7 linked regions of the Macaca fascicularis genome follow. The protein of the gene in region 2 interacts with the protein of the main gene of each other region in a pairwise test. Links are inferred from orthologs where the notes say so. Each region holds a gene or a part of one and is shown on either strand. Other genes may lie near its edges.

Region 1 (3,500 bases), about 93 Mb from region 2:
ATCACGGCACTGCACTGCAGTCTGGGTGACAGAGTGAGACTCTGTCTCAAAAGAAAAAAAAAAAAAAAAAAATCCTGGTACTAGTTAGGGAGAAGAAAGAGTCATTTGCAAGTTGGACAACTGGGTGGCTAGACAGTGATACCTATTCTGTGGGCTAGAACCAGGGCTGGGAAAGCTGCCTTAGAGAGCATGCCTGCTTCCTGGACCTGTCATTGCTTGGTAAAGGATGCACTAGGCCAGGCATCCAGAAGCCCACAGGCAGCAAGTGAACCACCCACATCTCACCACACGAAAGGCAGGTAAAAGGGACTGACCACTTCCCAGAGCCCTGGGGAGAGAAGAGGGTTGCCATGAACAAAGATGACAGGTACCTTATACACGGTGGTTTTATTTTCAATGGCATCTGCTATTTTCGTCATCGGAGAATGGAGCAACTTGATCTCCATTTCAAGTGGGTCCGTGTCACCCAACAGCTCATCAGATTCTCCAGCGGCCAAGCCTTTAACACAACCAACACCACTGTCAGGGCCCTGGCTACCCTCTGTAGCCAGCCCCCCTGGTCAGGCCTCAGTGAAAAGGATACACAGATGCTTCCCAGGGAAGTTAGGTGCAGGAACGTTTCACTCCTGCTGAGAGGCCACATGACTAAGAATTAAACGCATGGGTTTTGCAGTAGGACATTCACTTGCTGGGAGCTGGACTCAGAGCTTCAGCTTTCTCATTTGGAAAATGGGAATTCCACAAGCCCTCTTCACACTGGGCTGCTGTGAGACATGGCAGATGTCTGTAATGCTCTGGCCCAAGATGCTGCTCTGTAAATGGCAGGCACTGGGATTCCCTCCCCAGGACCAGACTTTCTCCTCCTCTCTCTGGTCCCTTGCCTGGAGCTGGCCTCTACTGCAACCCTCAGATGTGCCCACTGCCCTGTGCCCCACTACCCTTATGCCTGCTTGTATAATTTTGCCCCTATTCCCTACACTTGGCCTTCTAATCCCTACTCACCCTTCAAGATCCAGCACTAGGGCCACCTCCTCCAGAAAATGCTCACCACTAACCTGTTCCTCACTGTCTTCTCAATTTCTCAGACCTCAATCTTTTGCCAAAATGCATTCTCAGTGATGGAGCACCTCTTGCCCTCACATCCAGCCAGGGTCAAGCATCATCATAAGAACATAAGCTCAAACCCTTCTCAACTGCCCTACTTAACAGGGGAGGAAACTAAGGCCAGGTGCAGTGGCTCATGCCTGTAATCCCAGCACTTTGGGAGGCCAAGGCAGGTGGATTGCTTGAAGCCAGGAGTTCGAGACCAGCCTGGCCAACGTGGCAAAACCCCATCTCTACTAAAAATAAAAAAATTAGCCAGGCATGGTGGTGCACACCTCTAGTCCCAGCTACTCAGGCGGCTGAGGCACAAGAATCACTTGGCCCCAGGAGGCAGAGATTGCAGTAAGCCCAGATCATACCACTGCACTCCAGCCTGGGCAACAAAGCAAGACTCTGCCTCAAAAAAAAAAAAAAAAAGAAGAAGAAGAAGAAGAAGAAGAAGAAGAAACAAATTCAGACAGGGGGATGACCTGCCCAAAGCCACATGGGAAAACTAGAAAGCAGGCAAGTCCTCTTAACCTCGTGTGTAATACAAGGACACTAAAAGACCCAGAGAAGGAAAACTACTGGACCTCAAGAGAAAAAAATAGAGTATCTAGAAGCCAGGCTAGCCAAAGCTTCCTCAACTACCCCATAATGTCTACAGACAAGCCCAGAGGGCACTGGATACCTTCCTTAGGCAGTGTAGAGAATGAAGCAGGGAGCCACAAGCCAGGGCTGCAGAGAGTAGTATCTGAGGAGAGCAAACATTCTCAGGAGTTTCTGAGAGTCACATCTCCGCTCCCCAGCAAATAAGCATCTTAATAAAAACTAACATTTACTGAGCATCTATTTACTAAATGCCAGGCACTGTTGTTCTAAATGTCTTTTACATATTAAATAAATCCTCATAACTACCTTATCGGGTGGACTTATTGTCTCCATTTTACAGATAACATCATTGAGACAAAGAAGTGAAGTAATTTGTTTAGCATCACACAGTAAAAAGGAAACAAAGCTCGGATTTGAATCCAGGCAGTCTATACTTTTGGACACCCAGCTCCTCTGAGCTGGAAGAGTCTTCAACAGGGCAGGAGAACCAGGTCAAAGGCACCTCTGCTGATATCCTTTGGCAAATATCAGCTTTCTGTGACTTGGGTACCTTATTCACCAATGGGAGTAAGAAGGAAAATCTAGAAATGGACCTGAAATGGTTGTGAAAAAGCCTAAGGCAACATTAGAGAGTTTTTGAGAGAACATCTCAGTCCATTCCGGGTCCCAAGAGACAGGAATGGAGCCTCACATTTCCAGAGCACCTCAGTGGGCACCAGGTACCTTCTTTCGTATTTACCAAAAGCTCGCAACCACCCTCCCCCCACCCCCCACCCTCCCTGCCAGGGCCAGATTAGAATTCCCCACCTTGCAGGAAAAGAAATTAGGCCTCGAGCTGCTTAAGCAACTTGCCCAAAGCCCAAGTAGGGCCAAGGAAGCGGGAGGTCAAACATGGGATTTGCTGTCAGGTCTGCGTGGCCCCACTAGTGCAAGACCAAGTGGACCCACCCTGCCCACACTTACATTCCATGGTGTCTTCATTGGCCTGCTCAGTATCCTCGATATCAAAGACCTCGGTCATTTCCTTAACAATCTCAGCACTGAGATGGGTGGGCAGAGTGTGAGTGGGTGGTGGTGGTATATAGAAGCTAATCTTCCCGCTGCATTGGGAAATAGGGGAGATTAGTGGTGCTGTCACTGAGAGAACCAATGACAATCCAAGAGACGATGAGTTTGTAGGCCAGAAACAGCAAGGGAACAAGAAAACCCAGACAGTGGCTTCTGAACAAGAAGGAGTTGAGTTGCTGGATAATCACTGGGCATAAAGTCTTGAGCAGGACATGACCTGGCACCTTGGCCATCCTCTGCCCCAAGACCCAGGAAGTCAAGCTGCCCCAACGGCAATGAGCACAGATGAGCCTTTGTGGAGCCAGGCTCCCAGTGGGCCTCACCCTTACCCCTAACCTCCTCCTCACCTCACCCAGTCAGCTAGGACAGCTTTGGCCGCCTGTTCCTGACTGTATAAGCCTCCCTTCTTCTTCTTCCCCAAACGGTGGGCCACTGCCGTAAGAAAGTGCTCAGTGGTCTGGAACCCAGAGACGCCATAATAGTTGGAAATCTGGTGACGGGAGGAAGGAGAGAAGTCATGAGGAAGAATGAAGGGCCCTTGGAGTAGGGCAGGGCATCGGCCAGGGCTCTGCTGCAGACCTCCTCCAGGTTGCAGCGCTGCAGGATGGTCTCCACTGGGGTCACAGGGTCTGCCAGCTTCTGCACGTGGACGCAGTTACGCAAGATGGTGCCCACCTCTGAGTTGGGCCCTGGGACAATGCCTGGAGCATCCAGCAGCCGGATGAACTTGTCCAGGT
Region 2 (4,144 bases):
TACTCACCCCTGTCCCCACCCTCCAGAAACAGCTATCCTAGGTGTGAGATATAATTCCTACCCTGAACTTTGCCTGTTCACCACGTAAACAGCTTTGTTTCTTGCTTCATATAAGACTTCAAAAAGTAAATGGGGTCTTATCATGCTCTCATTTCCATTATCGCTGAACCTGCTCTGCTCCTCTTTACGCTGACATTTTCCTACTAAAGCCACGCTCAGAGCCAGAGACTTGCTTCCTGAGAATTCTGTCCCCAGGCCCAGGAGTAACAGCCCATGGTTTACTGAGTGCTCACCATGTAGCAGGGAAAGTTCTAAATGCTGCATGGGTATGATCTCATATAATCCACACCTATCAGGTGATTAATATGAAGCCCCATATCTCATTTAATCAACACTGAGGTTTACCAGTACAAATGAAATATCTTGCCTCAAAAGGCCTTAAACAGTAAGGAAATGTGTTATCTAAATTAATTAAAGGTTATAAAGTGAAGTTGGCTCCAGACATGGTACAATGAGGGAGGACATCTGGACAGATATAAATGAGAACTCTGAACCCCTCACATCCTCCTAAACCTTTCTAAGAGGTAGTCCTGTCAAATCCCCAACCAAGCTGCTCTGCATTAAACATTTCAATGACTTAACCTGGGGCAATGGCCTCACACAGGTATGCAGTTTCTTCTCAGCAGCCACCCCCTTCACTGCTCTGAACCCTCCAGGCCCAGAGATCTCAGCATAGCCCCCAGATAGCAGTACAAAGTCTGATTTAAGAGATAACCAAGCATCTTGCTAATTTCCATAGGGAGGAATCTGGGACACATCTATGAGTGGAAATTCTAAGGATGTCTGCCCAAGGAGGATGAAATGTTTGTTAAGATCAGGGTATATCTTTATGGATGCACTTGCCCAGGATCTGGGACTTAATGTTAGCTAGAGCACCTGTAAGTGACATGTTGGCTATTTGGAGTTTGAAAGTGACAATGTACTATGTTGGCTCTCTGGAGCCTGAACTCAACAGCTGCATATAGGCAATAAGGATTAAGGGGCAGAACTTCCCTGGCACAATATTAAGGAATCCAAAAGCTCAGAGAATTAGGAGCAATACATATATATGTCCTGGTTTATGCCTGTTGTTATGGTCTAATTATTAATACTGCCCTCTTTGCCATCTGCTCAGCCAACCCTTACCCATGCCACCCTGGAGGACCCAGAGAACACACCCTTTGCCAGGGCTTTAAGAAATGCGTTGGTGAAGGAAGCATCAGAACCCTGACAAAGCCCTGAGGTAGCTGTCCCCAGCAGCCTGGAGTTGACAGCAGGGATTCCTAGGATTGGTTGTATTCCCTGATTTCCATGGGAATAACGGTAGTCACAGTGACAGTTCTAGAGGTCAGTGATAGCACTTAACTATTAAAAGACAGTCATTTCGTTTTTTAGTGCTTGATATTTATTGAAAATAATGCCAATGCTTTTTCCAGGTAGTATTGAGGAGCTGGGCTGAGTGCTTGTTTGTTTTGTTTTTAGTACTATTTGTCCAAATGCATACATCTGTGGGACTGCTGCAATTTTGAAAGAAAAATGACAGCTGTGTAAAACCAGTGCATAGGAAAAAAGAAATATCAACAATTTGGCTGTCAGGCACACCGCGCCCCTGCAGCAATCTGGTATGGCAGGGGAGGACACTCGGAGTAGGTAGAAAACTAACCAGGCTGAATGATTGGCCTCTTCAGGGGTTGGTGAGCTGTCCAAATCAATGTCCGAAGAGGCAGAGCCAACTCTGGCATTTTCCAGGTTGGTCCTGATCTCGAAAGGCGGTAGTCTGTAGGTGGGATGTGGTGAGTGGATGTGAAGTGGCAGCATAGTTCTCTGGGCAGATGTAAGCCTGGCAGCAGGGCAGGTGGCAGCAGCAGGGCTATGGGTGGTCTGCGCAGTTTGTAACAGGGGCCTGGCCAATAGCTGGGGTTCAGGACACAGTTCAGATTAGCAGGGGAGGGATCCCCGGGATGGCCAGGGTAGATGACACTTCCAAGCACTTCCGAGTGAGTGAGGCTCCAGCCCCAACCCCAGCAGCAGGTAACTGGAGCACTATTCCTGGAACAAAGACAAGCACTACGGAGAAATGAAGAAAGAGCAGACGGGCGCGGGTAGGGAAGGGGACCGGAGGGCAAGGGGGAGAGCAGTGGCTCCTGGCGGGGTGAGGGCTGCGGGGAGGGGGTGACGGCGTGCAGGGCCCTCCCCCCGAGGCCCGAGGGCCTAGTAATTATCCTCTTCGTCCTCGTCGTCGTCGTCTTCGTCGTCATCCCAGCCAAAGCACTGTTTCATCTCATCGAGGAAGGCTCGGTAATCACCTAGGATGGGGCTATCCATCTCGATGTAGGGCACCACCCACTCCTCGGCTTCCCCGGTGAGGAGACTGATTAGGAATGCCACCTTCATGGCGTCGTTGCAGAATCGGTTCTCGTTCACGAGCATGTAAGACGCTGTCTGCACGATAAACTCGGGGAGCCGGGAGCTCTCGCCATTAAACGTTTCGGGGAAGGGCACCGGGCAGCTCGGCGGACGTACCTGGCGCAGCAGGCTGGCCCTCTCGCACACCAGCAGCCGCAGCTGTTCCATGAGCTGGCTGTTCTCGATGGTCAGGGCGCGGTGCCGCATCAGGAGCGCGTGCAGCAGCAGCACCAGCTCATCCACCATTGCGAACAGCCTGGAAGGACAGGGCTCGGCTCGGTTCGGCTCGGCCAAGGTGCGCACGGAGGCCTCGCAGGAAGTGCGTGTCCACGGAGACGCTCGATGGCCAGGGGCTGGGGGCGGGGGGCGGTGCGCGCCGGGGTCCGGGAGGCTACGCAAGCTCCGCCCACGAGGCCATTCGGACGGATGGTGCGCCGGCGCGGCGCGGGAGGGGCGTGGCCAGACTGGGGGCCGCGGCTGCGTGGGGGCGTGGCCGGGATGGGAAGGGTTTAGACAAAGAGGGCGTGGCCAGGAAAAGGATGCACTGGGTCGCTGAACCACCGGCTTGTGGTAGGTCTCTAGGCGGGCAGTTAAAGGCTGGGGTAGGCTCCCCTAGCTCCTGGTTGTGGGGCCTGCGTTAGCAGAGGACCTGGCGAGCGCTGAGTTTGGTCTCAGAGAAGGCAAATTTGTTCAAACTGAAAGGATTAGCCACCCTTCTACCTAGGCAACTCTCACAACTCAGTTGTTCCTTCGTGGGTCTGTGGCCACTAGATTCTCTTGGCGTGATGTTTTATTAACACATTTTCTTTCTTGTTTAAATCTCACTCAGAGAAGTATTGACACTGCTGGCTGCACTGTGGGACTCACACTTCCTTTTAGGATCATGAAGACCTTCAGGGGTTCCTGCCTTTCATGAAAAAGGCAGTATTTAAACAGTGACTTCTTTAGTAGGGGAATAATACGGCATACTCCCTTAAAACAAACAAACAAAAAAAAACAAACCTAAGTAGCAGGATATAAAGAAGTTTTGCAAAATGAGCATCCAATAATCAATTGCAGGCATCCCACATATCTTTGATTCTCTATTTCTTGTCCTGCTGTTAGTGCCTTTGGCCACTGGGTTTTATTCTGTACTTAAAAATGAACTGTTAAGATGTTTGTGTTTTTAAATAATTTTGTTTTTCTACTTTAAACGGATCCCTGATCCTAGAGCCGACAGGAATTGTTGGCTCTGCTTTCAAATATATTGCCAATTCAGTCATGACTTGTCATTTCTACCACTGCCACCCTGATCCCCAGCCTTTCTCACCCAGACTGCTGCAACTAATCACTTAGCTTTCACTCTTTTCTTCCTATAGTATATTCTCCATAGAGTAGCCACAGGAATCCTTTAAAACAAAAATTAGGGCCGGGCGCGGTGGCTCACGCCTGTAATCCTAGCACTTTGGGTGGCCAAGGAGGGCGGATCACGAGTCAGGAGATCGAGATCATCCTGGCTAACAGGGTGAAACCCTGTCTCTACTAAAAATACAAAATATTAGCGGGGAGTGGTGGCAGGTGCCTGTAGTTCCAGCTACTCAGGAGGCTAAGGCAGGAGAATCGCTTGAACCCGGGAGGCGGAGGTGGCAGTGAGCCGAGATAGCGCCAGCGCACTCCTCCAGCCTTGGTTACCAAGCGAGACTCCATCTCTAAAAAAAAA
Region 3 (3,983 bases), about 11 Mb from region 2:
AGGGAGGGAGGGAGGGAGGGAGGGAGGGAACAGACAGTTATTAAATACCACACAAAGTTCTAGGAACCCAAAGACTGAGAGGTATCCATTTTATTTAGCAACTTTGGGTGTCGCTGATCTTGTCCAGAGCAATTTCTGTGGAATAATGGGGCAAAAGCAAAAATGGGAATGGATTAAAAGAATGAAAAGAATGTTCTTGTCTATTATTTTTCTACAATCATCATATATATATATATACACACACATATATTAGGCAGGGCCCAGTGGCTCACGCCTGTCATCCCAGCACTTTGCGAGGCCGAGGCGGGCGAATCACTTGAGGCCAGGAGTTCCAGACCAGCCTTGCCAACATAGCAAAATGCCATCTCTACTAAAAATGCAAATATTAGCCGAGCATGGTGGCAGGCGCCAGTAATCCTAGCTACTCCGGAGGCTTAGGCAGGAGAATCGCTTGAACCTGGGAGGCAGAGGTTGCAGTGAGCCGAGATCACGCCATTGCACTCCAGCCTGAGCGACACAGCAAGGCTCTGTCTCAAAAATAAATAAATTCTTAAAAGTTGATGGGAGAAAAAAAGTTGTTTAAAATAATTTTTTTAAAGTTGATAGGAGGTGAGGAAGCGTAGCTACTGACGGCCCATTCTTGGATAAAATATTTTGACTCAGGAAATGAAGAACAGAGCTGCAATTACAAGGGATCAAAAGATATTTTTCCTTAAATGGAAGGAAACTTGTTTTGTTCACCATCGGATCTCCGGGGCCCGGCACAATCTGGCCACTTAATGGGCATTCAATAAACCCCCGAGCTGGCTGGTGGCCGGCTTGCAGGACGCTGTCGCACAAGGACGGGCGCTGGAGTCTTTCCTTCTGGATTATGTAGGGACGAATGAAGGCGCGGGCTCAGTCCCTGACAGCGCAGTACCTTCGCCCTAAGCTAACCCACCCTGGGCCGCGTGGAAACCAGGGACCAGGAGGACAGACACCGGCGCACCAGAGAAATACGGGGTGGGTGGAGAAAAGAAAGCCCCACCCGCTGACAGCCGTTTCATCTCCAGCCTCGCCGTTTTACGCAGTCCCCTCCCTACACGGCTCCTGCTTCTCACACGCCTAGTACGCAACGGAACTGACGTGTACGTCGCGAGCGATTGACGGAAACAGAAATTGCTTTGCGGCCGGCACGGAAATTGCTTTCCTTCGGCTTCCGTTCTTGGTCCATGTGAGAGAAGCTGGCTGCTGAAATGACTGCGAACCGGCTTGCAGAGAGGTGAAGGGCAACGAGGGGAGTGGGGATTCTGGGTCTCGTTGGGGGCCGGGTTCCCCAGCTTTTGGGAAATGGGCGCCCCCTTTTAACAGATGGCAGTGGTTCCCCTCAAGAGCTGGCCACTTGTTCCTGTTTTCCGCGATCCAGCCTTTAAAGCCCTTTTAATTTCATTCACTTACTCCGCTCCTCAGCTGTATAGCCGCATCCCTGTTGGTCCTGATGCTGTTTCTGCCTCCCCAGCTCATTTACTATGTTTCACATTCCTCGTCACGTGACCCCTTTTTCTGCCTCTGCCGCGGCCCGATTTAATCCTCTGCGCAGGCAGTGCAGGCGTTATAAACTCCCCGAATCTTCGAAAGCTTTGCTGACTGGAGTCATCGCCACGTTTTGGCTCCTATGATGTTTTGTGCCTCCCCTCCCCGCCCCCGGAACTAAATGTAGTCCGTTTAGGAATGTTGGCTTTGCAAATACTAATAATATATGCTGTTAAGTAACGGTAAATTTTGTAATTTGTGGGTACCAGTCTCCCTAGTTAAGCACCTACTTTGCTAAGCAGGCCCCAGGGAAAATGGCTTACTCAGCTGCTTTCGACCTGTTTCTCCATTCCTGGGAACAAGTGATCAAGATGACACTTTTTTTTTTTTTTTTTTTTTTTTTTTTTTTTTTTTGAGACGGAGTCTCGCTCTGTCGCCCAGGCTGGGGTGCAGTGGCCAGATCTCAGCTCACTGCAAGCTCCGCCTCCCGGGTTTGCGCCATTCTCCTGCCTCAGCCTCCCGAGTAGCTGGGACTACAGGCGCCGCCACCTCGCCCGGCTAGTTTTTTGTACTTTTTAGTAGAGACGGGGTTTCACCGTGTTAGCCAGGATGGTCTTGATCTCCTGACCTCGTGATCCGCCCGTCTCGGCCTCCCAAAGTGCTGGGATTACAGGCTTGAGCCACCGCGCCCGGCCAAGATGACACTTTTGATCAGGCTGCCTTTTGATCAGGCTGCCTATCAAAGAGTCAAACATGTGGAGGATGCTTAGAAATATTAATCGTGAAACTGCCTTGCCTCCAGGGCTAGCAACAGCGTCTTTGGCCATATTATTCTAGGGTCTGACATTTTTACAGCTTCCCATAGGTCATAGGAAATGTTGTGCCAATCACTGAAAAGTGTTAGCTCTTTTACATGCAGTTTTGAGTCAGGCATCATTCCTGGAGGTGATGCCTGACATCAGTCTAAATTTCACGTCTTGACAAGTTTTCAAAGGCGTTCATGCTGCTTTATATATCTTCTGAGGGATAGGGCTATTCTGTGTTGAAGTTACAATGTTTACGAGATTGTTTTAATAGATTAGACATTGCTTCAAATAACAATATTTCTCTATTAAATTTCAACTTTTATTATAATTAAGGGATACATATACAGGTTTGTTACATGGGTATATTGCATTCACATTTCTTTGTTGCCTCTTTTAACAGCCTTCTGGCTTTGAGCCAACAGGAAGAACTAGTAGATTTGCCAAAAGACTACCTCTTGAGTGGGAGTGAAGATGAGGTGGGTGACAATTGCTAAACTGCCTTCAAAATTAGGGTAGAGAGCACATTCCTGGAATGGAAAGGTGTGACAATATTCTATGTATTTGTTCAGGTCTCTCAAATTAATTACAAATGGTTAGTGTTTCATATATAAGTTACTGTATCATATTAAGTGCTATAAGGATTTGGAAACTAAGTTACACTCACTACCCGCAAGTTGCATAAGTATAATTTATAAAACCAACGAAAACAGGCCCGGCTGGTGGCTCACGCCTGTAATCCCAGCACTTTGGGAGGCTAAGGCAGGGAGATAACCTGAGGTCAGGAGTTCAAGACCAGCCTGGCCAACACGGCAAAACCCTGTGTCTACTAAAAATACAAAAATTAGCTGGGTGTGGTGGTGTGTGCCTATAATCCCAGCTACTATTGAACCCAGGAGGTGGAGGTTGCAGTAAGCCAAGATCAAGCCACTGCACTCCAGTCTGGGCAATAGAGCAAGACTCCGTCTCAAAAAAAAAAAAAAAAAAGACTGAAACACATGGTCCTCATATGATATGATTTCCCAAGTTTGGATTTCTATAGAGCGTTATTTAATTATCTGACTGAAATATGCATATGTATTTTAAGCTGGATCTCCAACAGATGCTATAAGAATTCCAATTCTTTATTTCCCTTACAAAAAAACACTTTTTTTTTCCCTTGGGTTGGGGGCACACAACACATCTATTTTAATAACAAGGAGGGTGTTTTTTTTTGTCTATTTTTTTCTGCTTGTCGTGTTCTTCGTAGGAAAAGCCAACTTAACTTGGAGGCCGGGTGTGGTGACTCACACCTGTAATCCCAGCACTTTGGGAGGCCAAGGCGGGTGGATGACTGGAGGCCAGGAGTTCAAGACCAGTCTGGCCAACATGGTGAAACCCCGTCTTTACTAAAAATACAAAAATTAGTTGGGTGTGGTGGCACTCGCCTGTAATCCTAGCTATTCCAGTGGCTGGGGCAAGAGAATCACTTCCAGGAGGTGGAGGTTGCAGTGAGCTGAGATCACACCACTGCACTCCTTCCTGGGCAACAGAGCGAGACTCTGTCTCAAAGAAAAAAAAGCCAACTTTGTAACTGGCTATGACTTACACTATATGTCAGGGTTTCCATGTTAGATCATACTATATATTTTATACAGAAACACCATTTTAAGCCCTTTTTGTCTAGAA
Region 4 (3,944 bases), on a different chromosome or scaffold from region 2:
CTCAGCTCCTGTCCTGCTTCAGCATCAATTCCGAAAAGGAGCCATTTCTTTCTTCAGGAACACGCTTCTACAGAACTCAGGGTAACAAGTGAAAACTAATCTTGTGTGCTTATCTCAAGGACTGTGCAAGCTTATCCAGGGTTTCAGGCGACAGCTGTTGGCATGAAGCCCTCTTGAATAAATAGGTGGAGGCCCAGGCTGTCCCTCCCTCCCAACCTCCCAGAGAGCTCCAGCCTCCTCCCTACACAACCAGCGAACTCACCTCTGGGTAAAGGACCCAACTTGCTACAGTTGGCCAACTATCTGGCTGTATGGCCCCATGAGTCATCAGGCATCGTGGCTTACACCTAGCAGGGCGAGCAGTTCCCACTCTGGGTACCCATCTTCAGTCCTGGACTGCCCTCCTCCCCAGATCTCACAAGGAATGTTATGACCAGTTTGGGATGGGTGGGTGGCGCCTCACTCGGCTAATTTGCCAGAAAAAGAATCCACACAAGTACTTTCCCTACAAAATAATTTATTCCAACACACAGCAACAGCAGAGACTCTATGTACAAGCACACTGACGCTCCTGACTACCCTCAACTAGGGGACCCTTTTCTTCCCCCTTGCCTTGCGGACCTCTTCTATCAAATCTTTCAGGTACTGGATCTCCTTGGCCAGGGAATCCGCCCTCTCTTTTAAAGCCTCATTCTTCTTTTCCAGCTCTTTGCACTCGCCAGTGAGGGCCTCCTGCTCCGCCCTCTTCTTCTGGCGGTACCTAGTGGCTGCTGTCTTGTTTTGCTCCATTTTTTTCAGCTTCTTATCCAGTTTCTCACCCTTTACTTTTGCTTCTACCATCTTCTCTCCAGGAGGGTCGTAAGGTTTGGGGCGGGCAGAGCCACAGAGAACACCTGGAGATGGGAGGCTCCTATTTGGAGAGCCCCTGGTAGACGGGCTATGCTGAGGAGAGCCCAGATAGGACTCCGGGCTCATACAGATGCCACTATCATTATCTGAGGGGGTGTCTTCCTCCTTTATGCACGGAGGGATCATGGCAACATAAGCAGTGGCATCTGGCTTCCTATCTCCTTCAGTGATATCCACTTCACTGCCCAGCTCTAAACTAAAGGAATGATCTGGAGTGGAGGACAGGACCCCTGGGGAAAGGGGAAGAGGTTGCAAGAAGGTGAAGGGGGCAACCTGGTCGGGTTTTGTTAAACTTTCTGGGAGATGGCCAATTGGGTTCACCGTCTGGGGGGGCTCCTTGTTAGTCTCCTGGACTAGGGGGGCAAAGAGATCACACGTGTCATCCAACGTGGTCAAAAGGTCATCTGGCATGGTTTCCAGGTCATCTATACCCAACAGGGCATCAAAGTCGAACTCCTTCAAATCCATTTTCTCCAACATCCAATCTGTCCCGGAGAAGGCATCCTCTGCAAAAGATTTGAATGACAGGGCCAAGTGAGTCAGATACAAAGATAACAGGCCCCTAACCCTAGATCCCACCCAGACGATGTGGTGGTGGCCCACTCACCCTTGCCGTTGTTGGAGGGACTGACCAACCCATCCACAGCCAGCCATTCGGAGGAGCCCGCCTTAGCCTTGTCGCTGGAGAACCCATGAGGTTTGAAGTGCTTGGCCACCTCCAGGTAGTCATCTAAGAGACCTAGGCTTTCTTCAGCCCCCAAACCCGACTGGTCGAAGGGGGACATCAAGTCCCCCACCAACACCTCGCTGCTCAGGAAGCTCATTTCGGTCATGTTGCGGTGCTTTGCTGGAATCGAGGAATGTGCTTAATTCGAAGATGTCTTTGTCGGTTACAGCAACGCTGCTGCTGAATGCCGTGAGAAGCCTGAATGGGAATCAGAAGCCAACTCCCATTAGAGGTTAGCTGGTCTGAGAATTTCATCTTTCCACTTACGAGGCGGGACTTCTCTAGTCCAGCCATCTACAGAGTCGGCAACGGGGCAGTTGCATCCGCCCCTCCCTGCTGCGGCTCAGGTTCCACAAAATGGACGCTCACGGAGACCAGGCGATTCTTCCACCGGCCACCAAGAGGAAGGCGCTCCGTCCCCGCGTCCAAATACGGCCAGGGCGGCCGCGCCCCGCCCACCGCCCGCCCTTGACTCACGCCCGCGGCGCCGCCCTGCCGCCGCCATCTTGGTTCTTGCCACGTTTCGCGGGGGGGGAAAGCCGAGACCCCTGGGACCCTTGGGGGATTCGGGGTCCGAGGGCGGCAGGGCCCCTGTGGAAGCAGTCCTGGCACCAGAATGCGCCTTCCCGATCCCGGGCACGCGAGCGTCTCGGGGACACCCAAGCAAAGACCACGCGTCCCGGGCGCTCGTAAAATCGCTTCCTCCTTGGCGGCACCGCCCTGGGCCCCAGGCCGCACCCCACCAACCCAAAACCTGCGCCGGCCCAGGGAGCACAGCTGGACGACCCGCCCTGGTACTCACGCCATGGCTTAAGCCGCTGGGGGGGGGTGCCGCTGCAGAGCCTGGTGCTGCTGCCGCCGCTGCAAAGGCCAATGCTGCCGCAGGCACTGCTGCCCCTAATACGCCATGGTGGCCGTGGACCCTGCGGGCGGGGAGGAGGGAAGGCGCACACGTGCGAACCAAACTACATTTGTGGGCGGACGAAGTAGAAATGGCCGCAACAGCCGCCCGCCGGCCCTTTATAGACTTCGTCTCTAAGGGGACGCAGCACCGACGCATCCTTCCGCCACGGCCACGTGACCATCTCCTCCCGCCCGCTCGTTTCCCTCCCTTTGACGCCCCAACCGTTTATGCCCAGCGCGTAGCTGTGACGAGAAAAGGTGTTTGTTCTTATGACCTCACGAAACGAGAGAGGTGCACTACTTTACTTCTATGATCAGAGTCCGTTCTTTCCTTCGCCGCCGGAGCGCGGAGTGATCTCGCAGACACGCCTCGCTTCCGGTGTCGGCGCGGTGGGCGGGGAGAGGTCGTTTTCCGGCGGAGAGTTTTTATTGTGAAGGCCGAGGACGCCAAGTTATCGCGCGAGGTGCTGGCGAAAAGCGCGCGTCAAGTTGATTGGCCCAGGCACGGTGAGTCATATATACCTCGAGCTCTTATTGGCTCAGGGCCCCAGGTGGGCGGCTGCTGGGAGAGGGATCACGGAGTCCGCGTGGGAAGGGTCGGGGTCTCGGGTCTCTGCCAGGCCTCAGGCCGGCCAGCCTGCTGGCCAGCTACAATCGCACTGGCTTCTGCCCCCAGGAGACCTTAGCCTAGCGCACCCCATAGTGGCCTCAGGGCCCAGCCCCTGCGGTCGGGTCCCGCCGCCCTCAGTGGAGGTCCGCCACTGGCGGCCCCGCCGCCACTCCCAGCCTGCGCGTCCTTCGGTTGCGGGGGCTAATTTCTGGCCTGCGGAAACCGCGGGGTTACCTGTTCCAAGCCTGAGTTTTCCAGAGACGCCATTCATAGCCGACACGGTGTTGCTGCCCCCGGGAGGTTGAAGGGGTCTCGAGAGGGCGCCTCGGGCCTGCCCACCTACACTCAAAGGCCAGCTGAGTCTGCATGGCTCCGTCTAAACTCTGGAAAGGAGCCGGGAAGACGCGCCGTCCTGTCGCCCAACCTGGGTTTTTACAATTCTCATCCGGCTCAAGTGCGAGGCTGCCACAGAATAGCATCATAGGGGAACTTCTGGTGTCCGAAGATTGCGTTCCCCTAAGAACAGAATTTTCTTCGCTGCCATCTACCTGGGGTAGTTTCGATTCACTCCGGGTTCTGAACTCCCCGGCCTAACCCGCTTTTCAGTGGTCATGCCCATGGCCCTGGGAGGAGAGGCGCTTGGGAACCCACGGCCACGTGCTCGGGGTTGTGCGTTGGGAAGGGGGGGTAGTCTGTTTTAATACAGGAAACCTCCGCATCGTCCTCAGCCCCCTCCAGTCAGGCCCTGTGAAGGTAGAAACTGTTTCCGCCTCCATTTCACCGGGCCACACAAGT
Region 5 (3,500 bases), on a different chromosome or scaffold from region 2:
ATGCATTTTATGGTTTGTAAATATCTTTGCTATTTATTGTCTTTTTAATATCTCATCATAACTTTTTGATATATGTATTACTGTCCCCCTTTTCCAGCCTGGGTTGAACTCTCACCTCTGCCACTTAACTTTTGAGACTTCTGAGGTCTTTGTGGAAAAGGAGGTAATTTTTTCTGTCACTTAAAAACAGGCTGGGTGCAGTGGCTCACACCTGTAATCCCAGCACTTTGATAGGCCGAGGTGGGTGGATCACAAGGTCAGGAGTTCAAGACCAGCCTGGCCAACATGATGAAACCCCATCTCTACTAAAAATATAAAAATCAGCTGCGTGTGGTAGCAGGCGCCTGTAATCCCAGTTACTCTGGAGACTGAGCAGGAGAATCGCTTGAACCTGGGAGGCGGAGGTTGCAGTCAGCCGAGACCGTACCATTGCACTCCAGCCTAGGCAATAGAGCAAGACTCTGTCTCAAACAAACAAACAAAATACCTCCAATTGCTCTTTCCCAAATATCCTGGCTACCCTTCCTTCTGCTTTACTTTTTTTTTTTTTGTGGCAGAGTCTCACTCTGTCACCCAGGCTGTAGTGTTGTGGTGCGATCTCGGCTCACTGCAACCTCTGCCTCCTGGGTTCAAGCGATTCCTGGATAATTTTTTTGTATTTTTAGTAGAGATGGGTTATCTCCATGTGGGCCAGGTTGGTCTCAAACTCCTGACCTCAAGCGATCCGCTCACTTCGGCCTCCCAAAATGCTGGGATTACAGGAGAGAGCCACCGCACTCTAATTTTTGTATTTTTAGTAGAGTTGAGGTTTCACCATGTTGGCCAGGCGGGTCTTGAACTCCTGACCTCAAGTGATCCACTGGCCTTGGCCTCCCAAAGTGCTGGGATTAGAGGCATGAGCCACTGCACCTGGCCTACTTCATCTATTATACAAGTAATGTATACTCATTAAAGCAAAAGACAATCAAAATGAAAACAAACGTCATCCCTAATCCCACCACTGAAGAGTTACTATCCTACCAGCATTTTTCTAAGCATGTATATGATTTTAAAACAAGCACAAAAGGATAATATTGGGATTATACTGTACATTCAGCTGCACATTCTTTCTTCCATGTTGTATCATGAATATATTTTGACAACAATAAACATCTTTCTTTACATCACTTAAAATAACCACCTAGTATTTTGTTTTATGGAATACAATATTATTTTGTTGTTGAAGTCAAACATTAGATTGAACCATATATCTGACCTTTTTTTAACCTATAAAAATAGCAATTGCCTGAGCTACTTGGGAGGCTGAGGCAGGAGGATCCCTTGAGCACAGGAGTTCCAGGCTGCAGTGAGCTATATAATTATTCCTTTGTTGTGGGACATTTAGGTCATTTCTAAATTTTCACCAGGTTGTGATAAACCTCTTTTAACTCATTTTTTAAAAGTGTTTTTTTATTGAAGTATAATTTTATCATTTCCTTAGAATTCTCAGAACTAGAATTGGTAGGTCAAAGAACAGATACATTTCTAAGGTATTTAATACTTTGCAAAATGCCTTCCAAGAAGATCGAATCAATTGATTTATTCCCACAAACATTATATGAAAGTATCCATTTCTTTATATTCTACCTTTCACAGTGGGTATAATAATTTAAATAGTCTGGGGCTGGGTGTGGTGGTTCATGCCTATAATCCCAGCATTTTGGGAGGTTGAGGCAGGAGGATCACTTGAGCTCTGAAGCTCAAGACCAGCCTGGGCAACATAATGAGACCCTGTCTCTACAAAAAGTTACATTAGCCAGGTGTAGGGGCTTGTGCCTGTGGTCCCAACTACTTGGGAGGCTGAGGTGAGAGAATCGCTTGAGCCAAGAGCTCGAGGATGCAGTGAACTGTGATTGTACCAGTGCTCTCCAGCCTGGGTGACAAAGCAAGAGCCTGTCTCAAAAACGAACATGCACACAAAACACAAAAAAAGAGTCTGGGAAAAATAGCAATGATAGTTAACATTTATTGAGTCTTTTTTTTTGGAGATAGAGTCTGTGTCGCCCAGGCTGGAATGCCGTGGTGCAATCTCAGCTCACTGCAACCTCCGCCTCCCAGGCTCAAGCAATTCCCATGCCTCAGCCTCCCAAGTAGATGAGATTACAGGTGTGCACCACCACATGTGGCTAATTTTTGTATTTTTAGTAGAGACAGGGTTTCTCCATGTTGGCCAGGCTGGTCTTGAACTCCTAGCCTCAAGTGATCCATCTGCCTTGGCCTCCCAAAGTGCTGAGATTATAGGTGTGAGCTACTGCACCTGGCCAATGGATCTTATTGTTATCCCTTTTTTTTTTTTTTTTTTTTTGAGATAGAGTCTCACTCTATAGCCCAGGCTGGAGTGCAGTGGTGTGACCTCAGTTCACCACAACCTCTGCCTCCCAGGTTCAAGCGATTCTCCTGCCTCAGCCTCCCAAGTAACTGGGACTACAGGCCTGTGCCATCATGCCCGGCTATTTTTAGTGGAGACGGGGTTTCACTATGTTGGCCAGGCTGGTCTCAAACTCCTGACCTCGTGATCCGCCTGCCTCGGCCTCCCAAAGTTCTGGGATTACAGGCGTGAGTCACCGTGCCCGGCCTCTTATCCCTATTTTATTGATGAAGACATCAAGACGCAGAGTTTAAGTAACTTTCTTAAGGCCACACAGCTTGTAAGAGGCAGGATTATGACTCAAACCCAGGCAGTGTGAATGCTGAGTTTGTACTCATTATCTCTACACTATATTGCCTCAGTGTATCATTGTTATAATGGAATTTCTTTGATTATAGTGAGGTTAAACATTTTTCATATATTTATAGGCTACTTAACAAGTGTTTATCTTTTTCTCGTGGCTTTTTTGACTGCTGCCGTTCTGGGAAAATTTTAAAGCCCAACATTATAGTTAACTTCCTTTATTCTTTCTAAGGGTGAGGTCATGGCAGCTTTGTTTCTGATCAAACCCTCTCCATATTTAACTTTAGCCTTGTGCCTTCAGAAATGGTTATTGTATTTACTTATTCAGAGTTTCTGTCAACTGAGTCTGTTTTTTTTTTTTGTTTGTTTTGTTTTTGTTTTGTTTTGCTTTGTTTTTATGGGAGGAAAAGAGCTTTTTTTTCTTAGTATTTTGGGGAAATCACCCTGTTTTATCACTGTACCATGGCTGTACTTTTAATGAGACCAAATACATGTTAGAGTTTCCCTGGTGTTCTCTCATATCTAGGCAGGGAGTAGGGCTTCGATTTTGGTCAGGCCTTGTGTGATTGACTCAGACTCACATCCTATGTTTACATTCCTGTGTAGAATTTCCAGGCCTAGTGTAATCTCCCAGTTGGAGCAGAAAGAAGAGCCATGGGTCCTACCACTCCAAAACTTTGAAGCAAGAAAGATCCTGAGGGAAAGCCACGCAGGTGAGATGTGAGTGCTCCCCAGTGGAAGGAAATCTAGCATTTCAGCCTTGTTTAGATGAAGAATTTGGAATGCCGCC
Region 6 (3,500 bases), on a different chromosome or scaffold from region 2:
CTCACCTTGACCGTGCGGATGTAATCCAGTGCATTGGGGACCAAGGACTCCAGTTCAGGGAATCTCTTCGAGTACTTATCCCGGATGAACTTATGGATGATGTCTAGGGTAAACGGGACAGGCGGGTGTCAGGTGAGACGGGAGGCAGACTCTGCTGGTTGGCCCTAACACCCACGTCCCCTTCTTCCTTTAGTAACTGAAGCCCTGGCTTGCAGCCTGGCATACGGGCACCAGCATACAGGCTCCATTTTTCAGCCGCCCTTACCGCTAGGTGTGACCAGGGGAATTAGTTCTGGTCTGTAAAATGTGAGCTGCAGTGACATGTTCTTAAAAAAAAGAAGTGCCTTGCTGGTGGGAATGCAGAGGCGACGGCTGGACGTGGGGCAGTCCCCTCGCACCACGAGGCAGGTGGCCGACCAACAAGATGGAAAGGGCTGGGGCCTTACAGGCAGCCAAGCGGCCACGCCGTCCCCGAGTGCTCGCTCAGACTCATACGCGAGGGAGCCACGCCGTCCCCGAGTGCTCGCTCAGACTCATACGTGAAGGAGAACGCACTTCCTTCTTACTTACACCACTCCGTTACAGCAGGTGAACCTCGATCTGAGCTTGGGCTCAGCGGCAGGACCCTGGGAAAGGCCCGTGGGGAAGGGAGGGGGCATGAGGGGCGTCACAGGGGGCTGTCTCCGCCTGCCCCCAGCACTCACTCAGCTCGTTTTCGATCTCCACGGTCAGGTTGTTGGCATCCACGATGACGCGGTATTCAGGCGCTGCCTCCACCGGTCCCATCACTGTGAGGACACGGAGTGGCATGGGTGTGAGGATCTAAATCCCTACCCCTTCTCGGGTCCCACAGCTGGGGGAGACGGAGGATGAGGCTGGGAAGGGTCAGGAAGGAGGGGCTGAAGAGTAAACCAGGGACAGGCTGACGTCTGCCTCCCAGATCCTGCAGCTGGAGGAGGCGGAGGACGAGGCTGGAGGGGGTCAGGAAGGAGGGGTTGAAGAGTAAAGCAGGCGACAGGCTGACATCTGCAGACATCCCTGAACTTGTGTTCCTGCCTCCAATCCCTCTCCCTCCACACCAGTCTAGACTTGACCCTACCTGCCCTGGAACTGACCGTCCGTCTGAAACCTCCTATGGCTCCCCATAGCCCCAAGGCTAATGACCAAGTCCCTAGACTGACATTCAAGGCCTGCCCAACTCCAGAAGCTCTGCAGGGACCAGTGCTGTGCCTGCGTTATCTACACCCACACCCGAGTACTCAGGACAGCACCTGGCACACAGGGAGCTGCCCAGTTCCTCTCTGCTGACTCAGCAACTCTGCGGTCTGGCCTCCCACCCTTCCCACCCCATCCTCTCATCCAGCCATAAAGGACTGGTCACAGTGCCCCAGACACCCACTCCTCCTGGCCTTTTTTTTTTGAGATGGAGTGTCACTCTTGTTGCCCAGGCTAGAGTGTAGTGGCACGATCTCAGCTCACTGCAACCTCCGCCTCCTGGGTTCAAGTGATTCTCCTGCCTCAGCCTCCCAAGTAGTTGGGATTACAGGCGCCCGCCACCATGCCCCGCTAACTTGTTTTGTATTTTTAGTAGAGATGGGGTTTCACCATGTTGGGCAGGCTGATCTCGAACTCCCGACCTCAGGTGATCCACCAGCCTTGGCCACCCAGTGCTGGGACGACAGGCATGAGCCACCATGCAAGGCCCCTCTTGGCCTTTGCATATGCTGTTCCCTCTCCCCAGAGCATCCCTTACCCCATGTCTGTTTCTGGAAAACCCTTCTTTGTGCTTTAGTAATAAGAGGCCAGGCACAGTGGCTCACACCTGTAATCCCAGCACTTTGGGAGGCTGAGGCAGGAGAACTGCTTGAGCCCAGGAGTTCAAGAGCAACCTGGGCAACATAGGGAGACCCCATCTCTACAAATAATTAAAGAAAAAATAATTAGCCAGGCATGGTGGTGTATGCCTGTGGTCCTAACTGCCTGGGAGGCTGAGGCAGGAACACCTGAGCCCAGAAGGTCAAGGCTGCAGTGAGCTGTGATCGTGCCACTGCATTCTGGCCTGGGTGACAGAGTGAGACCCTGTCTCAAAAAACAAACAAAAAGATGTTGTGTTTAAATGTCATACAAATACTAACTGTCTGATGTCACCGCCAGTAGACAGCAGAGCTCAGACCTGACCCCAAGCAGGGTGGCTTCAGAATGTGTTCCTAACCCTGATGCTCAAAAGGCTCTTTAAGTCCTTAAGACTCCAGCAGTGACTCACAGCTGTCTGGAACCCGGCCTGCCTCTTCCACTAGACCTTGAGCACGTTGAGCGCAAAGACCCGGGCAATTCAACTGGGTGCCCAGGTAAACCTTAAAGCAAGTAAGCAGTGAGTCTCCCAAAACTCTGCCCTCCCACTACACTTCTTCCCCCAGAAACCTCCCATGGCTTCCTGTTGTCAACAAATTCCATTCAAGAAGAATGGGAAGGCCGGGCACGGTGGCTCACGCCTGTAATCCCAGCACTTTGGGAGGCCGAGGTGGGCGGATCACTTGAGGTCAGGAGTTCGAGACCAGCCTGGCCAACATGATGAAACCCCGTCTCTACTAAAAAATACAAAATAGCCAGGCGTGGTGGTGCACACCTGTCATCTCAGCTACTCAGGTGGCTGAGGGAGGAGACTCACTTGAACCCGGGAGGCAGAGGTTGCAGTGAGCCAAGATCACATCACTGCACTCCAGCCTGGGCAACAGAGGGAGACTCCGTCTCAAGGAAAACGGAAAAAAAAAAAGAATAGGAATGGTAACAGGACTGCCCTCCTAAGAGTGAGTCTGAGCACTCACGAGATAAGCTAGTATTCTCTCAATTTGGAAGTAAGAAAAGGTTTTAGGTGATTCTTTAATAATTGTATGTCTATTTTTATACGGTGACTTTGTCTTTGCAAATGATACCAGTTTTCCATTCATGGTAGCAATTTGCTTCCTTCTTAGATAAATTTAAGAGAAAAAGTCCCAGACTCAAAGAATATGTTAAGCAAATAATAGGACAAGTGGCTTATAGATGTGGCAAAAACCCTGTAACTGGTCATGTGCATCAGTGAAGTCTGGGAACCCTCAAGCTAAGTCCCAGCATGACCAGGCTCAGCACACAGAAAGGACGTAAGAAGCATGAGCTTCGCAATGCAGTATATGTTTAGTGGAAAAGGGAAGGGGGTGGGGAGAAACAAACAAACAAACAAGAAAGAAGGCTCTGGAAAAGGCTGCGGGGGAGATACACCCAGCCGCAAGCAGCCAGGGAGCCTAGGGGCCTGGCAGGAGACACAGCAGATAGGGAAGGGCACAGAGTGGGAGGAAGCACCTTCTGAAGCTTTGGCTTGCTTGCTGATATACTCCTCAATCTTCATCATAATCTCAGCAAACTGCAGGAAAGGAGGGGAGAGTCAGAATCCAGGACTCTTCCCAAAGAAGCCTGTGTCACCCCCTTCTGGGAGATTCTGTCTAGAGCCCCCTGGCTAGGAA
Region 7 (3,500 bases), on a different chromosome or scaffold from region 2:
GAAGTGCTAGCTCGGCTTCATTTGCAGCCGCTCCCCTCCCTGGTCTCACATTCCACACATCCTCATGCAGGCTAAAAGCAGAAACAGCCCATCAGCTTCCAGGCACCCAGGACCCTTGGAGCCTGGAGCAGGCCTGCTGGTGGGGATGTGCCTCTCTGATGAGATGGGGCTGGGCTGGGCTCTGTGTAGGGAGGCCACTTAGTCAGGGGCCTGGGACACCCCAAGGGATTCTGGGAACAGGCTGAGGTGCACACCCTCATACGAGGCAGAGTGGAGTGGAGGAAGCAGGGCAGAGATGAGGCCACAGCTGCCTAGCCTCTCCCCAGACAGCAGCTGAGGGAGAGCACGGCGACCTGCCACCCAAGCCGAGGCACAAAGAAAGCCGGGCGCCTCCTCGCTGGGAGCTCTGCGCCAATCCTGTCTTAGTTTTGATGAACAAATCCTGTGAACGTGGAAAACCAGGTACCTACATCTCAGCTCCTGTATGAGAGGCGGAGTCCAGCCCTGTGCTGCCAGCACTGGGGGAAGCCAGAGCTGCCTGGCCAGGCTCTGATCTGTCTTGTCTTTAGGAATCAGGCCAGGTGGCTCACGCCTGTAATCCCAGCACTTTGGGAGGCCGAGGCGGGTAGATCACCTGAAGTAAGGAGTTCGAGACCAGCCTGGCCAAAATGGTGAAACCTTGTCTTTACCAAAAAAAAAAATTAGCCAGGCATGATGGCAGGTGCCTGTAGTCCCAGCTACTCGGGAGGCTGAGGGGGAAGAATCACTTGAACCCAGAAGGTGGAGGCTGCAGTGAGCCAAGATGGCACCACTGCACTCTAGCCTGGGCAACAGAGTGAGACTACGTCTCAAAAAAAGAAAAAAAAAAAGGAATCAGAGCCAGGAGGGAGCAGAGAAGAGGGGAGCCCCGAGACAGGCGGAGGAGCTGGAGCAGGAGCTGGAGTAGGAGCCAGCACCCACAGGCCCCCAGTCTGCGGCTAACCAAATTCAGCTGGGATTGCTGTGGGCCCCACGTGGTTAAGCGGTTAATAAGCAATCCTCCCGGACACCGGCTGGAAGGTGTCCCGCCTTAGGTTTACCTCGGCAAATTGCTCCGTGTACTACCAAGTTTCCCTGATAAGGAGTTCTGCCTATTACTCTCCAGAGAGAACAGAAATTGTTTCTAATCATCATCTCACGCTTGGAATATAACAAGCCTCTTTTTTCAAAGTGAACGCCGATCTATGAGAAACTAGTCCTAAAAATTATTAATGTAAATAGTTTCCCACTTCTTATCCGCATAATAACAGCACACTGAATTTCAGACCTTCATCGACTTTCAAGGCCCGACCACAGGAAGAGGCCCCAAACCCGGGCCTGTCAGACGGGACCTGTGGATGAGTGTTCGCCACGAAGCACCGTGTGTGCGCCAGAGAGGCCCGGGGCTTTCTCTCTCTGTCTTTGCCAGGCTGCTGGGCTGTGTAGTGTTTAGTGCCCGGGGTGCTAATTAAGACGGCCCAGAAATTAGAGAGAGGCCGCCCTCTGAACAAAAAGGAGAAATAGCACCCAATGCCCGCCGCCGGGGGAAGCTTGGTAGAGAAGGGCTCCTGGCCCAGAAGCCTCTGGAGACCACTGAGACCTGACCCCCCGTGCGGCAGGCTTGGGTCTAGGTGCTCCAGATACAAGGGCCCACACTGATTCATTCGGTGCCAAGACCTGCAGCTGAGAATTAAAGGGAACAGTTTACTGCAGGGCGTCCTGCTCCTGGCTTCCAGGGTGCTGCTGGGGGTAGAGATGCAGCTCTGGCCACACAGCTGGCAGTCAGGAAGCTGGGGAGGTGCTCAGTGGCACGGCCAGCATGGAGTCCAGAGACAAGGGAGGGAATGATCCAGTGGCTCCTGCAGCCGAGGCAGCAGCTCTGCTGCTGGAGGACAGAATCAAATCCTACAGCTGTGGTTCCTCAGGCTCGCTTCCTGCCTATAGGGAGGAAGCCACCTTTCTGAGGACACTCTGGCTGCAGATACGGGGCTCCAGCTGGCTGCCCAAATGCCTCAGGTATTTCTGTTGACTCAGAAGTTTTATGTTTCACTGGAAATTAACCAATCATTCACTGGCCTTCTTCATCAGGCTCCTGTGCATTTGGTTACTGGGTGTCAGTGCCCTGAAGCCTTACTGGCTCTGGGTGCCACGATCGTACCCGTCTTGTCTGGATCTGCAGGGCTGCTCATTAGCACCACTGGGCCACAAAAGGTCTTGACTTCTGATCAGACCCTGCCTGTCTTTTTGATCAATTAATACCTCTATTTCCTTCACTTCTTTAAAAAGCATGCTGTACCTCACTAACACGTGGATGCTGTGATCATTTACAGCCTACAAACAGGAAGGAAACCCATTCTCTGGGGCCTGTGCATGGCTGGAAAGCAGTTACGTAACCACCCGCAGTGGGCAAACATCTCGAATCCCTAGGAACAGCTGGGACAAAACAGAAGCCACATCAACCTCCCTCACTGGCCAGGACAAGACGGGTGAGACACTGGACAGCGACAGCACAAGGATGCCCTGCAGCTCCCGTGATCACCACACAGAAGATGCCGCCCGGGGACCGAGGGTGGCTGTGCGTGCCAGCCTGCTGGTGCCCTCCCTGCCTGTAGTCACCTGTCTGAAGAGCAGCTCCTGCTCACTGGGCTGGCGCTGGCCCGGCTCCACCTCCCGAGGGGGCTCTGCCTCTTCGTCATCGCTCTCAATGGGCTCCTGCTTCACCTGCACGCCAGCTGGTGCGTGCGCCTCCTTCTGCGCCGGCAGCCGGTCCAGGTAGGGCTCGTCCAGCAGAGCCTGGTGCTCACGGAGCTCCTCCTCCGTCTCCTCTGGGTGACTCTCCGGCTGCCGGGCCGGCTCGCTTGGTTTCGGGATGATCTGCAAGGCAGAGGAAATACATGAAGCACAGAGAGCTGGGGCCTCTGAGCTCATCAGACAGGAGGAGGGATGCTGCCAACCACCCACCTCTGGGGCAGACAATCAGGGACTCAAGGCATCTTATCGCCCTGCCACAGGCCAGCAGGCGCCTTCATCTTCCCGCACAACAGGCACTTGGGCGCTATCCACGGTGCTGAGAAAATAATGCCCATCAGGACCCCAGCCCGGGGTCAAGGTGACCTGGCCCAGGGAAGGAGGCTGACTAACATTTGGGGTTTACTAAGCACCTCTTCTGCGTCAGGCACTGAGAAACAGAAAAGAAGCCGCAGGTGTCAACCGAGTCTGCAGAGGGGAGCCTGAGTGTGAAGGAGAGGCCAATGCTGACCTCATAGCCACAACTGCTGAGAGAAACAGCCACCACCCACCCAGCGGAAGACATCGACGTCCACAATGCTCACTGCCTGAGCCCACTGACACGCCACGGCCTCCCCTCCTGCAGGGTCCCACCGATGTGCCATGACCTCCCTCCTGCCGGATCCTGGGAACACTCCAGGACCTCCCTTCCTGCTGAATCCTAGGGATGTCATGGCCTCCCTCCTGGAATACTA

What was found.
Region 1: the proteins of LDOC1 (region 2) and GNL3L interact in binary tests that used the Homo sapiens proteins (3 or more experiments, as listed by UniProt). The two-hybrid records come from large-scale screens. The link is inferred for Macaca fascicularis from reciprocal best matches to the Homo sapiens genes LDOC1 and GNL3L.
Region 3: the proteins of LDOC1 (region 2) and UTP14A interact in binary tests that used the Homo sapiens proteins (3 or more experiments, as listed by UniProt). The two-hybrid records come from large-scale screens. The link is inferred for Macaca fascicularis from reciprocal best matches to the Homo sapiens genes LDOC1 and UTP14A.
Region 4: the proteins of LDOC1 (region 2) and ATF4 interact in binary tests that used the Homo sapiens proteins (3 or more experiments, as listed by UniProt). The link is inferred for Macaca fascicularis from reciprocal best matches to the Homo sapiens genes LDOC1 and ATF4.
Region 5: the proteins of LDOC1 (region 2) and ZNF774 interact in binary tests that used the Homo sapiens proteins (3 or more experiments, as listed by UniProt). The two-hybrid records come from large-scale screens. The link is inferred for Macaca fascicularis from reciprocal best matches to the Homo sapiens genes LDOC1 and ZNF774.
Region 6: the proteins of LDOC1 (region 2) and PRPF31 interact in binary tests that used the Homo sapiens proteins (3 or more experiments, as listed by UniProt). The two-hybrid records come from large-scale screens. The link is inferred for Macaca fascicularis from reciprocal best matches to the Homo sapiens genes LDOC1 and PRPF31.
Region 7: the proteins of LDOC1 (region 2) and HDAC4 interact in binary tests that used the Homo sapiens proteins (3 or more experiments, as listed by UniProt). The two-hybrid records come from large-scale screens. The link is inferred for Macaca fascicularis from reciprocal best matches to the Homo sapiens genes LDOC1 and HDAC4.

What each region holds. Positions count from the first base shown.
Region 1 is NC_088395.1:54,542,337-54,545,836, reverse strand, and holds part of GNL3L (guanine nucleotide-binding protein-like 3-like protein), read right to left. Parts: coding exon 3,343-3,500; intron 3,254-3,342; coding exon 3,111-3,253; intron 2,796-3,110; coding exon 2,659-2,795; intron 500-2,658; coding exon 372-499; intron 1-371.
Region 2 is NC_088395.1:147,495,032-147,499,175, reverse strand, and holds the start of LDOC1 (protein LDOC1), read right to left. Parts: upstream 2,801-4,144; 5' UTR 2,692-2,800; coding exon 2,251-2,691; 3' UTR 1-2,250. UniProt on the Homo sapiens protein: May have an important role in the development and/or progression of some cancers.
Region 3 is NC_088395.1:136,173,568-136,177,550, forward strand, and holds the start of UTP14A (U3 small nucleolar RNA-associated protein 14 homolog A), read left to right. Parts: upstream 1-1,183; 5' UTR 1,184-1,235; coding exon 1,236-1,261; intron 1,262-2,718; coding exon 2,719-2,794; intron 2,795-3,983. UniProt on the Homo sapiens protein: May be required for ribosome biogenesis.
Region 4 is NC_088384.1:12,124,644-12,128,587, forward strand, and holds ATF4 (cyclic AMP-dependent transcription factor ATF-4), read right to left. Parts: upstream 2,632-3,944; 5' UTR 2,439-2,631; intron 1,835-2,438; 5' UTR 1,743-1,834; coding exon 1,517-1,742; intron 1,416-1,516; coding exon 586-1,415; 3' UTR 501-585; downstream 1-500. UniProt on the Homo sapiens protein: Transcription factor that binds the cAMP response element (CRE) (consensus: 5'-GTGACGT[AC][AG]-3') and displays two biological functions, as regulator of metabolic and redox processes under normal cellular conditions, and as master transcription factor during integrated stress response (ISR).
Region 5 is NC_088381.1:74,891,079-74,894,578, forward strand, and holds part of ZNF774 (zinc finger protein 774), read left to right. Parts: intron 1-3,316; coding exon 3,317-3,423; intron 3,424-3,500.
Region 6 is NC_088393.1:61,920,153-61,923,652, reverse strand, and holds part of PRPF31 (U4/U6 small nuclear ribonucleoprotein Prp31), read right to left. Parts: intron 3,401-3,500; coding exon 3,340-3,400; intron 789-3,339; coding exon 705-788; intron 104-704; coding exon 6-103; exon of another isoform or gene 1-5. UniProt on the Homo sapiens protein: Involved in pre-mRNA splicing as component of the spliceosome. Required for the assembly of the U4/U5/U6 tri-snRNP complex, one of the building blocks of the spliceosome.
Region 7 is NC_088386.1:135,022,447-135,025,946, forward strand, and holds part of HDAC4 (histone deacetylase 4), read right to left. Parts: intron 2,893-3,500; coding exon 2,635-2,892; intron 1-2,634. UniProt on the Homo sapiens protein: Responsible for the deacetylation of lysine residues on the N-terminal part of the core histones (H2A, H2B, H3 and H4).